3 linked regions of the Mus musculus genome follow. The main gene of each other region encodes a partner of the protein of the gene in region 2 in a complex. Links are inferred from orthologs where the notes say so. Each region holds a gene or a part of one and is shown on either strand. Other genes may lie near its edges.

Region 1 (4,249 bases), on a different chromosome or scaffold from region 2:
TCAGAGGCCAGTTTCCAGGCCCTCATTCCTTCTTCTACCACGCGGTTTCCCAGGATTAAACCCTGGTCATTAGGTTCGGTGGCGAGCAGTGGTGAGCACCTTTCCTTGGCATCTTGCTGGCCTGAAACTATATCCAGGCATAGCAGCTCATGCCTATGATCTCAGTACTAAGTAGGCTGAGGCAGGAAGATCAGGAGTTGAAACCTTTGAGCTAAGGGCTTAAGTCTCATGAGCCCTTACCTCAAAAGCACACAAAAAAGCCAGTAAGCATGAATGTACAGAGTGGAGTTAGAGCCTGGACTGGGGACCTCTGTGACTCACTGCATCTTCTGAATCTCATCTTCGTCCACCTTCTGCTTCTTCTCCTTCTTGTCCTTAATGTCTAGTTTCAGCTTTTTGGCTGCAGGAGTAAGTAAGGACGAGTTTTCCCTCTCGGCTGCTGTTACATCTGAGACATCCTGACTCTTGAGCTGGAGAGATGGACAGAAACTCTTATTATGTACTCGGCACACTTCTCAGGTTTGGGAAAGGCCAGCAAACACCCTCCTCTTTCCAGCCCAGCAACTCTGTCTACGCAGTAGCTATCTAGTTCTAGGCACTGCCTATACCATCTGCATAAGAGGCAATCCATCTCTCCAAGGAAGATTATACTCCAGCTGGGAAAGAAAATAAATAATCCGCTGGGTGGTGGTGGCGCATGCCTTTAATCCCAGCACTTGGGAGGTAGAGGCAGGTGGATTTCTGAGTTCGAGGCCAGCCTGGTCTACAAAGTGAGTTTCAGGACAGCCAGGACTACACAGAGAAACCCTATCTTGAAAAACCAACCAACCAAACAAACAAACAAAAAACAAAAAAGAAAATGAATAATCCATTTCCCAGCCTAGCCATGATCATACAGAGGTCCTGCATCTGTTTACACATTACGAGGAAAATGCCAAGGATCCAAACAGCCACTCTCCCTCGGGCCCACCCTTCTGACCTCACTCCATAGATGTCAGTACAGTCCCTTCCATGTGTGTCTTGGGAGCTCCACACTGAACAGAGCTCTGTTCTTCTGATCCTTTCTCTACTGGATCACGAGATCTTTCCCAATACTAGAATACAAATTTTATTTATTTTATTTTTTTAAATAATTTGAGACAGAGTTTCTATACATAGCCCTGGCTATCCTTGAACTCTCTCTGTAGTAGTCCAGGCTGCCTTGTACTCAAGAGGTCCACCTGCCTCTGCCTCCAGAATGCTAGGCTTAAAGCTGTGCACCACCATGCCCAGTTCGGAAGCTTTTTTTTTTTTCCTTTTGTAATTTAAGACAAAGTCTCATTTTGGATTTTCAGCTTGTGGAAATTATAGACTTGTACCATTATATTGAGTTTAAACTAAAAACTGCAGAAAGCTCAGAGGTTAAGAGCATTGGCTGTTCTTGCAGAGTATCTAGGTTCCATTTACCAACACCCACATTTCAGCTCGCAGTCATTAGCAACTCTAGTTTCAGGGGATCTAATGCCTTCTTCTGACTTTTACAGGGAATGTGCCAGGCACATTACACGGCAAACAAAAATACACAGGCAAAACATTCATATAAAAAATATTCTTAAAAACCCACAATTTTTCAGTTACTACGGACATTCATGTGTGTGGGTTTGTAAGTGGACAACTTTGTGCAGATAGTCCGCTTCTACCTTAACGTGGGTTCTGGGGATCAAGCACCCTGACCTGCTGAACAATTTCGCCTGCCCTAAGCTAAAAACGTCTTCAAGATGTTTACTATTTACATTTCTCCTCACATAAACACTTAACCGTTTTATTCACAAGAGTGATCCAAACTCTGTCCTAGCCAACTTACTATAAAATCGTAATACATCAAAACTCATTAATGAGATTTAATGGTTCCTTTAAAATGAAAGGTATGTCGGGAAGTGGTGGCACATGCCTTTGATACTAACACTTGGAAGTCAGAGGCAAGGGGATCTCTGAATTCGAAGCCAGTGTGGTCTATAGAACCTGAGTTCCAGGTTAGCCAGGGCTACCCTGTCTCGAAGGAGGAGGAGGAAGAAGAGGAAGAAGGGGAAGAAGAGAAGGAGAAGGAGGAGGAGAAAGAAGAAGGAGGAGGAGGAGAAGAAAGAAAGAGAGGGAGAGAGAGAAAGAGAGAAAGGAAGGAAGGAATTCATATTTAAACTCATACAGAAATATGGAGAGGGGGAGAGAAGGCATTATCTATCTGACAGCCTTTCTAACTTACTTTCCACTATTGATCTACGCGTGTTTCTAACCTTTGTGCTTCAGATTTTCAAATTTATTTGTCCTTAACCATTTTCTCCTCGTCTTTTATCTTCTTGTCTCCTCCACCTTCCTCCTCAGCCTTCCCCCAAAAGGAGCTGGAGTACAAGCAGGCCTGAATAGGGCTCTAACAGCACCTACACCTTCCCGTTCCCTCTCCTGCCCCTCAAGGTTGCAGACTCACAAACAGTCGTGGGGGAATTCTAGTTCCCTGGCTTTGGAAGAAAGCAGTCAGGAGCGCACCCGGGTAGTCCTGCAGCGTTATCCACCAACTTCCACCTACCTCGCTTTCCTCCGCCGCGGCTTCTTTCAAGTCCGCGTCTCCATCCCTGTCGGTTTCCTCCGGGATTCCCTCAGTGTCGGCTGCCACCAAAGCCCCAGGAGTAGCCCTCGTCTCCTCTGACTCCCCTGGCTCCCCGCCTTTGTCTGTGGGCGACTCCCCGAGGTTGTCCATCGCGAGAGCAGGGGGTCAGAGGCGATGGCAGCACCGCCGGGAGAAGGAGCTGTGGAGCGGAGCTGGAGCTGAGGGCTCGTCGTCGCGCCGCGATGACGTCACGCCCACGGATCCTGGGAGGGGTCACTTCCAGAAGCGCGTTGGTTGCCCAGGGGATTCATATAAACGGAATTTGTTTTAATGTGAAAGAAATGTAGAAGTCTAGATCCTCCGCTTCAGGGCAGAAGCGTTTTTGAAAGAGCGTAATTCGTTTCCCGAGAGACTTCTTTTTCCTTCTTTTTCTTCTCCTTCCTGGGAATGTAATGCCAATTAACCCTTCTTTAACTTTACTCCTTCAGCCCAAAGTCGGGGAACAGGGAGAGAACTCGGTCCCGCTGCTTGTTGTTGCCGTGGACTGAGCAGCTTCCGGCAGCGACCTAACCTCGGATTTCCCAAAGAACTAAGACCACCGGCTTGTGTCCACCAGGGAAGTTTCCCTTCTGTTTCGCAAGCATCTCTAACGCCAACAGAAAGTATCCAATGGTTTCATTTAACACTTCAAATATTGGCCACCTGCCTCGCGTCAGAACAGGCTAGTGTTGTGAGGGAAAAACAGAAAAAAAAAAAAAAGTCATCCTTTCCCAATTACATTTCCCTCCTTAGTCCACCAATATTAAAAATTGGAAATGGTTCCCCAAATCTGACTTTTAAAATGTCTCTCATGACAACTAAGAGAAAGAAGGTCTCTTCTGACTTTTTCTGAAGAGTTAGTAGGATGGAGTGCGAGGATAGTGTCTGTTAAGAGTTCTTACATTTTTTTTTCATGTGTATGGGTGTTTTGCATGTAAGTCTGAGCTCCACATGCGTTCGTGGTACCCTGGGAGGCCAGCAAAAGGTGTTACATCCGCTGGAGCTGGAGTTACAGACTGCTGTGAGGCGCCACAAGTGATGGGAATCAAACCTAGATTCTCTGGCAGAGCAACCAGTGCTCTTAACAGGGAACCACCTCTCCAGCCACCCCCGTACTCCCTCCCCCCCCCCCACCTTTTTTTTTCTGGAGAGAGGGTCTCACTATGTAGCCTTGGCTAGCCCGTAACTTGCTTTGTAGATCAGGCTGACCTTAAACTCACAGCGATGCAGCCAGCGGCTTCTGCTTCTCGACTGCTGGGACAAATGGCAGTTGCCACAATGCCAGTCTAACTGCAGAAGTAAAACTCTCAGGTCTTCCCTCCAGGAGGCACCAGAGGGAGGGATTTTTCAAGTCTGGTTCTAGATCTCCGCGCCTATCCCGTATTGAATCTATGCGTTTTGAATGGAGTTGAAAACAGAGGTACGCGTTACCCCCTTTTCTTTTGTTTCTACGGTGCCAGGAACAATGACCGCATTTCCAGTGCCATGAGGTCCCAAACCTTTGGGAAGGCGAGCAGTTCGGGAAGCTCCTGCAGGCGTGCCGCCTCCGATCTCCGCCACCTGGCGAATGGGCGGGTCCGCTAGGCGTAGACCGCGCCTGCGCCAGGCTCGGCTCCGCACACCGAGGCT
Region 2 (3,511 bases):
TACAGTCATCAAGGAAGACGAGGACTGCTAACACTTAGCAAATATTAGTTTCTTTTAAAAAAAGTGTTCTTTAGAAAAGAATATTAAAAACAAATGATCTATTAAGTCAAGAATTTCGTTTCTTAAAAACCCCCACAAGCCAGCTCATTCTCTTTAATAACTCCCCCACCACTGTCCTCTAAAGCCTTGAGATACACAGAGCACAGCCTCACCATTTATAAAATCAAAGGACATTCAGATTGTATGCTATGCAGCAATGGTATACAGCTTGGAACACACACGTCTACCAGAAGAATAAATACTACTTCCACCCTTTCGGGTGGAACCGCATGGTTTGCAATGCTTTAACTTAGGAGTTATTAAAGCCAGGAAGCAATTCAGATATGGTCAGATAAAGACAGGCAACGGAGGCTCCAGTTGAAGACCTCTTTCATTGCATACCGAGCTATCATGTTACTGCAGACAACAACTTCAATGTATGGCTTCCACAGAAAATACCAAAATCTCGGGAAGTACGAACGGTGTCAAGATCCATAGTTGGCTTCGTCAAAAGCTTTTCTAGCCCGTTTCAATTCTTCATTCATAGTTAGTAAGTCTTTAACTCTAGCAAACTTCCTTGGATCCTTTCGAATTAGGAAGACAATATCTTCAACTTGCACTCGACCTTGTCTTCCAATCGACATTGCCTTGTGAGTCTATGACAAGGAAACACATGAATTTTTAAAGGTTAAATATTTTTGTGTTTTAATTTGCTGTTAATCGCGCTGGTGTTTACATTTGTGAACCATCTCTCTGGTCATATCCTTATCCCTTTTATTCCTTTAGGATTTATTTATTTATTTTATGTAGGTGAGTACACTGTCTTCAGACACACCAGAAGAGGGCACTGGATCCCATTACGGATGGTTATGGCCACCATGTGTTTTTTGGGAATTGAACTCAGGACCTCTGCAAGAGCAGTCAGTGCTCTTAACCACTGAGCCACCTCTCCAGCCCTCCTTATCCTTTTTTTTTCCATACTTAGCAGCATTTTCTTTATGCTTTATAGGCTTTTTTTTTCATTAAGGACATTAAAACTACCAAAGTTAGCTGGACAGAGTGATGTACACTTTTAATCCCAGCACTTGAAAGATCGAGACAGACAGATCTCTGGGAGTTCAGGATAAGCCTTGGTCTGCACAAGTTCCAAGTCAGCCAGAATTATATAGTAAGACCCTGCCTTACTGACAGAGAGACAGACAGACAGACAGACCAGAACAACAAAACCTAGCAAATTTCTCTCTCTCTCTCTCTCTCTCTTTTTTTTTTTTTTTGGTTTTTCGAGACAGGGTTTCTCTGTGTAGCCCTGGCTGTCCTGGAACTCACTTTGTAGACCAGGCTGGCCTCGAACTCAGAAATCCGCCTGCCTCTGCCTCCCAAGTGCTGGGATTAAAGGCGTGTGCCACCACTTCCTGGCTTTAATGCAATACTTATATGGGAGAAATCAATATGTATGTATACACTTATACAGTAGAAATAGATATATATGTATAAACTGACAACACAGTTGCTTCCTGGTATGGGAAGTTTTTATTGTAGATATGAAAGACAGAACAGCCAGAGGCTAAAACCTAGCAAATTTGAAGATACTTCTGTTTTGTTGTATGATATATGTGAAGTTTTTTGGTTTGGTCTGGTTTTCTTCCAGGAGGTTGTCTTGTTAAATGTTCTGGGGATGGCTAATGAATAGGTAATAGAGAATAGGCAAATAATATCAATTAGGCTTTAGTAGGCTGGAAGGAAGGAAAGTTTATGGAGGCTAAATAGTAAGTCTGATCCTAAGACCGCTTAAGCCTTTTATATCAAAATCTATACTTGGAGATACAACGGTAATATTTTTTTTGTTGCTGCTTTTTTTTTTTTTTGAGACATGTTTTTGAGTTTCACTATATAACCTAGAACTCACTATGTAGACCAGCCTAGCCCTGAACTCAGACCAACTTGTCTCTGATTCCTGACTGTTTTTTATTGAGACAGGATCCTGGAATATAGGCTAGTCTCAAACGAGGCAATCTTCCTGCCTCTGTTACAACTTCTAGAATTAAAAGCATGTACCATTATGCTTGGCTTTGGTTTTGTTTGTTGAGACAGGGTCTTACTGTGTAGCCTAGCCTGGTCTTAAAACTGGGGTCCGCCTACCACAGCCTCCTGAATGCTGAGGAATTCTGAGCACACTGAAATGACATCTTCTCATGCCTGGCTGCTTTTTTTTTTTCTGTTTGTTTGTCTGTTGTTATGTAGCTCTGAGTAGCCTAGAACTTACTATAAAAACCAGGTTGGATTTTTTAACTTGTAGTAGATCCTCCTGTCTCTCTCTGGAATTCTGGGATTACAGGTATGAGCCACCATGTCAGGCTCTGTCATTTAATGTGGTGCTGGGGGCTGAACCCAGGGCCTCACACATTCATATTAGCATGATCTAGCATTGCTACAGCTAATGTTTTCCTTGAGCTGAGTTAAACTGGATTAAATACTTGCCACATGTGCAGGCTCTTGCACACACACCAACCAGCCTCTGCCCTGGCTGAGTAATCTTTTCACTTTTATTCTGTAGTAAGGAGATAGCCCAAAGCAAAGGGTGAGCACTCATAAGAACTAAAAACAACCAAACTCAGTAACCCCATCCCTGCTAATACAACCACACAAAGGAAAGGAAGAAAACCATAAAAGTGGCCATCCAAGATGTTAGACTGGCTGCTTTGCCAGAGGACCTGGGTTCAGTTCCCAGCACCCACAAGGCAGCTCACAGCTGTCTGTAACTCCAGTTCCAGAGGATCTGACACCCTCACACACACACACACACACACACACACACACACACACACACACACACATATATGCAGTAATTCAATGCACATGAAATAATTTTTAAAAATCTCAAAGGTATTACATGAACTGTATATACCTTTAAATAAATACTAGAAGAAAAAGATCTTAGGCTGGATGAGATTATGGGCAGTACTTTTAATTTTACTTAAGGATATTATGCTTTTACAAATAAAACTCAGGGGCTGTAGAAACATGCCAGTCCTTAAGAACATTGGGATCCTTCCAGAGAACTGGAGTTCAGTTCCCAGCACCTGCAAGGCAGCTCACAAGCATCTGTATCTCCAGGTTCAGGGACTCCAACACCCTCCTCTGGCCTCTGAGAGAACCAGACACACACACCATCCACAGACATACCTTCTAGGCAAAACACCTGCGCACACCAAGTGAAATTAGATAAATAAATAATAAATAAAACAAGCTCTGAAGCACTGGGATACATTGATGTGATATTCAGAGTAATGGCAAATAGAAACCAGGAACTTGCACAAAGCAGGCACTCTAATGGATAGCTTATTTCAAAAGTGCTAGTGTTGTCTAAAGGTTACACTTCAAATCTTCAATTAACTAACAGTTACAAAAATAACCACAACAGAGAAGTCATAGTTACAAAAGCGTCTTACCATTTCAGTGATGAACTCTATGA
Region 3 (4,222 bases), on a different chromosome or scaffold from region 2:
TTAATCAGATAATCTATCTATGATGGTATAATATAAATAAAAGCTGTTCATAAAAACTCAATGATGGGGCTGGAGAGATGGCTCAGCGGTTAAGAACACTCACTGACTGCTCTTCCGAAGGTTCTGAGTTCAAATCCCAGCAACCACATGGTGGCTCACAACCATCTGTAACAAGATCTGACACCCTCTTCTGGAGTGTCTAAAGACAGCTACAGTGTACTTACATATAATAAATAAATAAATCTTAAAAAAAAAAACTCAACGATGAATGAAACAGAAAAACCATATATTTGTGCACTTACCTTTTATTATAAAGAAAAACTAATCCCATATAAACATTTTTATTTTTATGCTGAAAATTGTATTTCATGTCATGCTACCAAGTACTGTGGATTTACAATTTAAGGGGGAAAAAATGAAATGAGACTCATTAGTCACTTTGGATAAATGTATATATTGGAAGGTGCACCCATCTATTTTAGAGTTGTAGGTACACACAAGCCCACACGCTGAAAACTTTGGCACCCAATAAAACAAATCATCTTCTCCTATCTAATTTAGGATTATGGCCTGACCTTTCAAAGGGACACAAAAACGTCTGCTTAAGAAATTATAGTTGTCGAAATGAAAGATGCTCAATGATCAGGGCTCTTTGAAAACAAGACTGACAGTCACCTCCTTCGATAAACAAACAACCGTCTCTGATGATATCAGGCTCGGGAAACGCGCCGGAGATAACGAGAACTTCAACACTACCCCTAGCCTATCCACCTCCACCTCACACACTGCACAGGGGACAGGGACACAAAGCTCACACGTCAGTCCTTAGGTGTTTCTGCAATCACCAGTGAGCGGAGCTGACACCTCGCACCATGGCTCCAGGCCAGGGCTCCTCACCTACATCCTACACCAGTCCAGACTGGAGGGCGGGCCGGGAAGGACACAGCCCAGGTATGCGTGAAGACACAGCTGACCTCACGCCTCTGGGATATTAATAAATCAAGCGGAAGCCGCGGCGTCCTTACTTTCCGGGAGCTGCGTCCCCTCGCGGGCGGAAAAAAGCGGAGAACCGGGGCTGTACTTCGCCACCCAGCCCTCCCGGCTCAGCCGCAGGCTGTTGGAGGGCCCGCCTCCTGGGGACCTTCCTCACGGACGGCGCTTCCGCGACGCAGCCAGAGGGGAGGGGCCGGCAAGCGAGCAAGGGACGTAGGCGTCCAGCGCACTGCCTGACCCGAAACGCAGGCGGGTCTCGGGGCCCGGCTTCCCACCATTAGATGGAAGCGTAGGACCCGAGGCCAGCGGAGTTCCTGGTGCGTGCCGAGGTAGGGTCTGAGTGCGTGCGAGCCCGGCGGAGGGCCTCGAGGGAACCTAGCCGCGTACAGGCGCACGAGACCGCCCCTCCGCACGCACGCCCGCCCTTTCCGGTTCCTCCCTGGCAAGCGCGTCGGGGCGGGCGCGTGAGCGGAGGCTTTGGCTGCAGGGGAAGGAGGACTATGAAGCTTCCGAATATCCTGCTCACCGGTTAGGGCGCGCAACGGGGTCGGGTCGGGCCGGGCCGGGGTTTGCCGAGGGCTGTGAGGTCCCGGGGGCGCTCCGCAGGCCGCGCGGCGTGCCGTGTCGGCTGGCGCGTCAGGACCCGGCGCTCGCGACCGTTGGGGTGGGGGGCGGGGGAAGCGGCGGAGGCGGCGGTTCGGTTGGTCAGACGCCGCGCCGAGGAGAGGGAGAGCGGCAGGCCGGCTCCTGCTCTCCCGCTGCCCCGTCGCTCCGCCGGACGCTTGGCCTTTGTCAATCTGGTATCTTTGCCTGGAGAACGGGCTGCTGAGCCTTTGTCGCGGTCGGGCTTGGGGTTTTTAAAAATCGAGGTGCGGTGAGGCAGTTTTTAGCCGTTAGGAGATGTGGTGATGGTGGGTACCCCAGTCTTTGGGCCTTCTTGGTCGTCACCTTCTTATTTTATTTTTTATTTTTAGATACCCCTTTGCTTTTGAGAAACACTTCCCGAAAGGTTTCTGTAGATGATTTTTGGGATGCTTGTGAAGAGACGTGACTAATGAACTGTTACTTTGTTCGGTTCGCGCCACGGGCTTTGTTGTTGTTTCAGTGTTAAGGTTTCTGAGCGTTTGTGGTGATCTGGAGCTGATCGTGGGTGGGACGTTTCGGAGCTTTAATAAGAAAGGTTAAGTTGTAGCGTTTAGTAGCGTCATAGGCCAGTTGTACAAAGATGGGATGGATATAGATAAAGATGCCATCACTTTACTGAAAAAAGTTCAGCTGCTGTTTTGTCAGGTAACGAATCAGGTGAGGTTGTTGTCTGTCTTAGCTCTGCAGGCTTTAGCTTTGAGATTCCTTAGGAACATTTTACAATATCTGATTTGCATGGCCAGACAGTTTCTTGGGGCTTTCAGATTCTGAAGCCAGTAGGCTGCAGAGAATGCTGTAGATCAGTTGGTAGACTACTCACTAGTAGGCAGGAAGCCCTGGAATCAGGTCCCCAGAACAACATAGACTAGATGGGGTGGCATATGTCTGTTATTCCAATACTAGGGAGGATGAGAAGTCAAAGGCCAACCTAGAACCGTGCCGGTTGGCGGGAGGGGGGAAAGCAGTGGGGAGGGACGGACAAGAGTTACATCATAAGAACTCTGTAGATCTGAATGGGAGTGTTGAATACAGAAAGGGTTCACGAGCGCTGAGTAAGAGTTGGGATTGATGTGTTCTTACAGTGGAAGTATATTTTTTTTGACTATAGAGACATGATTTTTCAGGATTTCTTACAATGTTCAAGTTGACATAAGTTTGAACATTATGCATTTGATTGTCTTAAGGGTATTAGCTATAAGCAGGGCAGTGGTGGCACAAGCCTTTAATCCCAGCACTTGGGAGGCAGAGGCAGGCGGATTTCTGAGTTCGAGGCCAGCCTGGTCTACAGAGTGAGTTCCAGGACAGTCAGGGCTACACAGAGAAACCCTGTCTCGAAAAAAAACAAAAACAGGGGGAAGTGGAGGGTATTAGCTGTAAAAGGAGAAAAGCAAACTATGTATAGTGTCATTTATAAGGGTATCTATGCTGTGTGGATATATACAGTGTGTATGTATACACTTACTTAAATACACACCAAGTATCCCTTAGATACACACAAACACATAGAAAGTTAAGTAAGAAACTGGTTTAAAGTAGCTCCCTCTGGGGAAGGTATTTCTGTTAGGGGAAATGGTAGTAATGGTATTGCTCATACTAAACTTTTTTTCCATTGAATTTTTTTTTTTAAGATTTATTTATTATATGTAAGTACACTGTAGCTGTCTTCAGACACCCCAGAAGAGGGCATCAGATCTTATTAAGGATGGTTGTGAGCCACCATGTGGTTGCTGGGATTTGAACTCACGACCTTTGGAAGAGCAGTTGGTGCTCTCAACTGCTGAGCCATCTCTCCAGCCCCATTGAATGTTTTTTTGGGGGGTGGGGGTTTGTTTGGTTTTTTTGTTTGTTTGTTTGTTTTGGTTTTGGTTTGGTTTGGTTTTGGTTTTTCGAGACAGGGTTTCTCTGTGTAGCCCTGGCTGTCCTGGAACTCACTCTGTAGACCAGGATGGCCTCGAACTCAGAAATCCACCTGCCTCTGCCTCCCCAGTGCTGGGATTAAAGGCGTGCGCCACCATGCCCGGCCCATTGAATGTTTTTTAAGCTTTTTATTAACGCAATAAGTGATAATAGTGTATTTGAGGTGCCTAATTTTTTTGTTTTGTTTTTTTGTTTGTTTGTTTTTTTAAGACCGGGTTTCTCTGTATAGCTCAAGCTGTCTTGGAACTTACTTTGTAGACCAGGCTGGCCTTGAACTCAGAAATCCGCCTGCCTCTGCCTCCCGAGTGCTGTGATTAAAGGCATGGGCCACCACGCCCGGCAAGGTGTCTAATTTTATGCTGGGAATTTTGTTGTTGGCAGGCAGAATTGGCATCAAAATTGCTGCAGTCCTATCCCTGGAGATTAGGATATAGACACTAGTAGACAGTAATTTCTGGAGAATTTTTTGGTTGGTTGGTTTGGTTTGGTTTTGAGATAGGGCTTTCCTATGTGGCCCTGGCTGTCCTGACACTGTGTAGCCTAGTCTGGTCTTGAAGCCCCAGAGACTCTCACCTGCCTCTGCCCCAAGTGCTGGGATTAAAGACGTACACCACCATACCAGGCTTTATATCAGTTAAGAACCTTAAGGGCAGAAGATGGCTGACAA

The links. Proteins that work in one complex are often made in the same cells at the same time.
Region 1: Taf13 (region 2) and Taf11 share a complex: the UniProt entries of both Homo sapiens proteins name them as parts of the TFIID basal transcription factor complex. The link is inferred for Mus musculus from reciprocal best matches to the Homo sapiens genes TAF13 and TAF11.
Region 3: Taf13 (region 2) and Taf9 share a complex: the UniProt entries of both Homo sapiens proteins name them as parts of the TFIID basal transcription factor complex. The link is inferred for Mus musculus from reciprocal best matches to the Homo sapiens genes TAF13 and TAF9.

The regions. Positions count from the first base shown.
Region 1 is NC_000083.6:27,904,941-27,909,189, forward strand, and holds the start of Taf11 (transcription initiation factor TFIID subunit 11), read right to left. Parts: upstream 2,805-4,249; 5' UTR 2,732-2,804; coding exon 2,561-2,731; intron 471-2,560; coding exon 322-470; exon of another isoform or gene 241-321; intron 1-240. UniProt on the Homo sapiens protein: The TFIID basal transcription factor complex plays a major role in the initiation of RNA polymerase II (Pol II)-dependent transcription.
Region 2 is NC_000069.6:108,578,191-108,581,701, reverse strand, and holds part of Taf13 (transcription initiation factor TFIID subunit 13), read right to left. Parts: coding exon 3,489-3,511; intron 696-3,488; coding exon 525-695; 3' UTR 1-524. UniProt on the Homo sapiens protein: The TFIID basal transcription factor complex plays a major role in the initiation of RNA polymerase II (Pol II)-dependent transcription.
Region 3 is NC_000079.6:100,649,925-100,654,146, forward strand, and holds the start of Taf9 (transcription initiation factor TFIID subunit 9), read left to right. Parts: upstream 1-1,418; 5' UTR 1,419-1,493; coding exon of another isoform or gene 1,494-1,521; intron 1,522-1,682; exon of another isoform or gene 1,683-1,793; intron 1,794-4,222. Other genes in the region: Ak6 (adenylate kinase isoenzyme 6), read left to right, coding at 1,494-1,521. UniProt on the Homo sapiens protein: The TFIID basal transcription factor complex plays a major role in the initiation of RNA polymerase II (Pol II)-dependent transcription.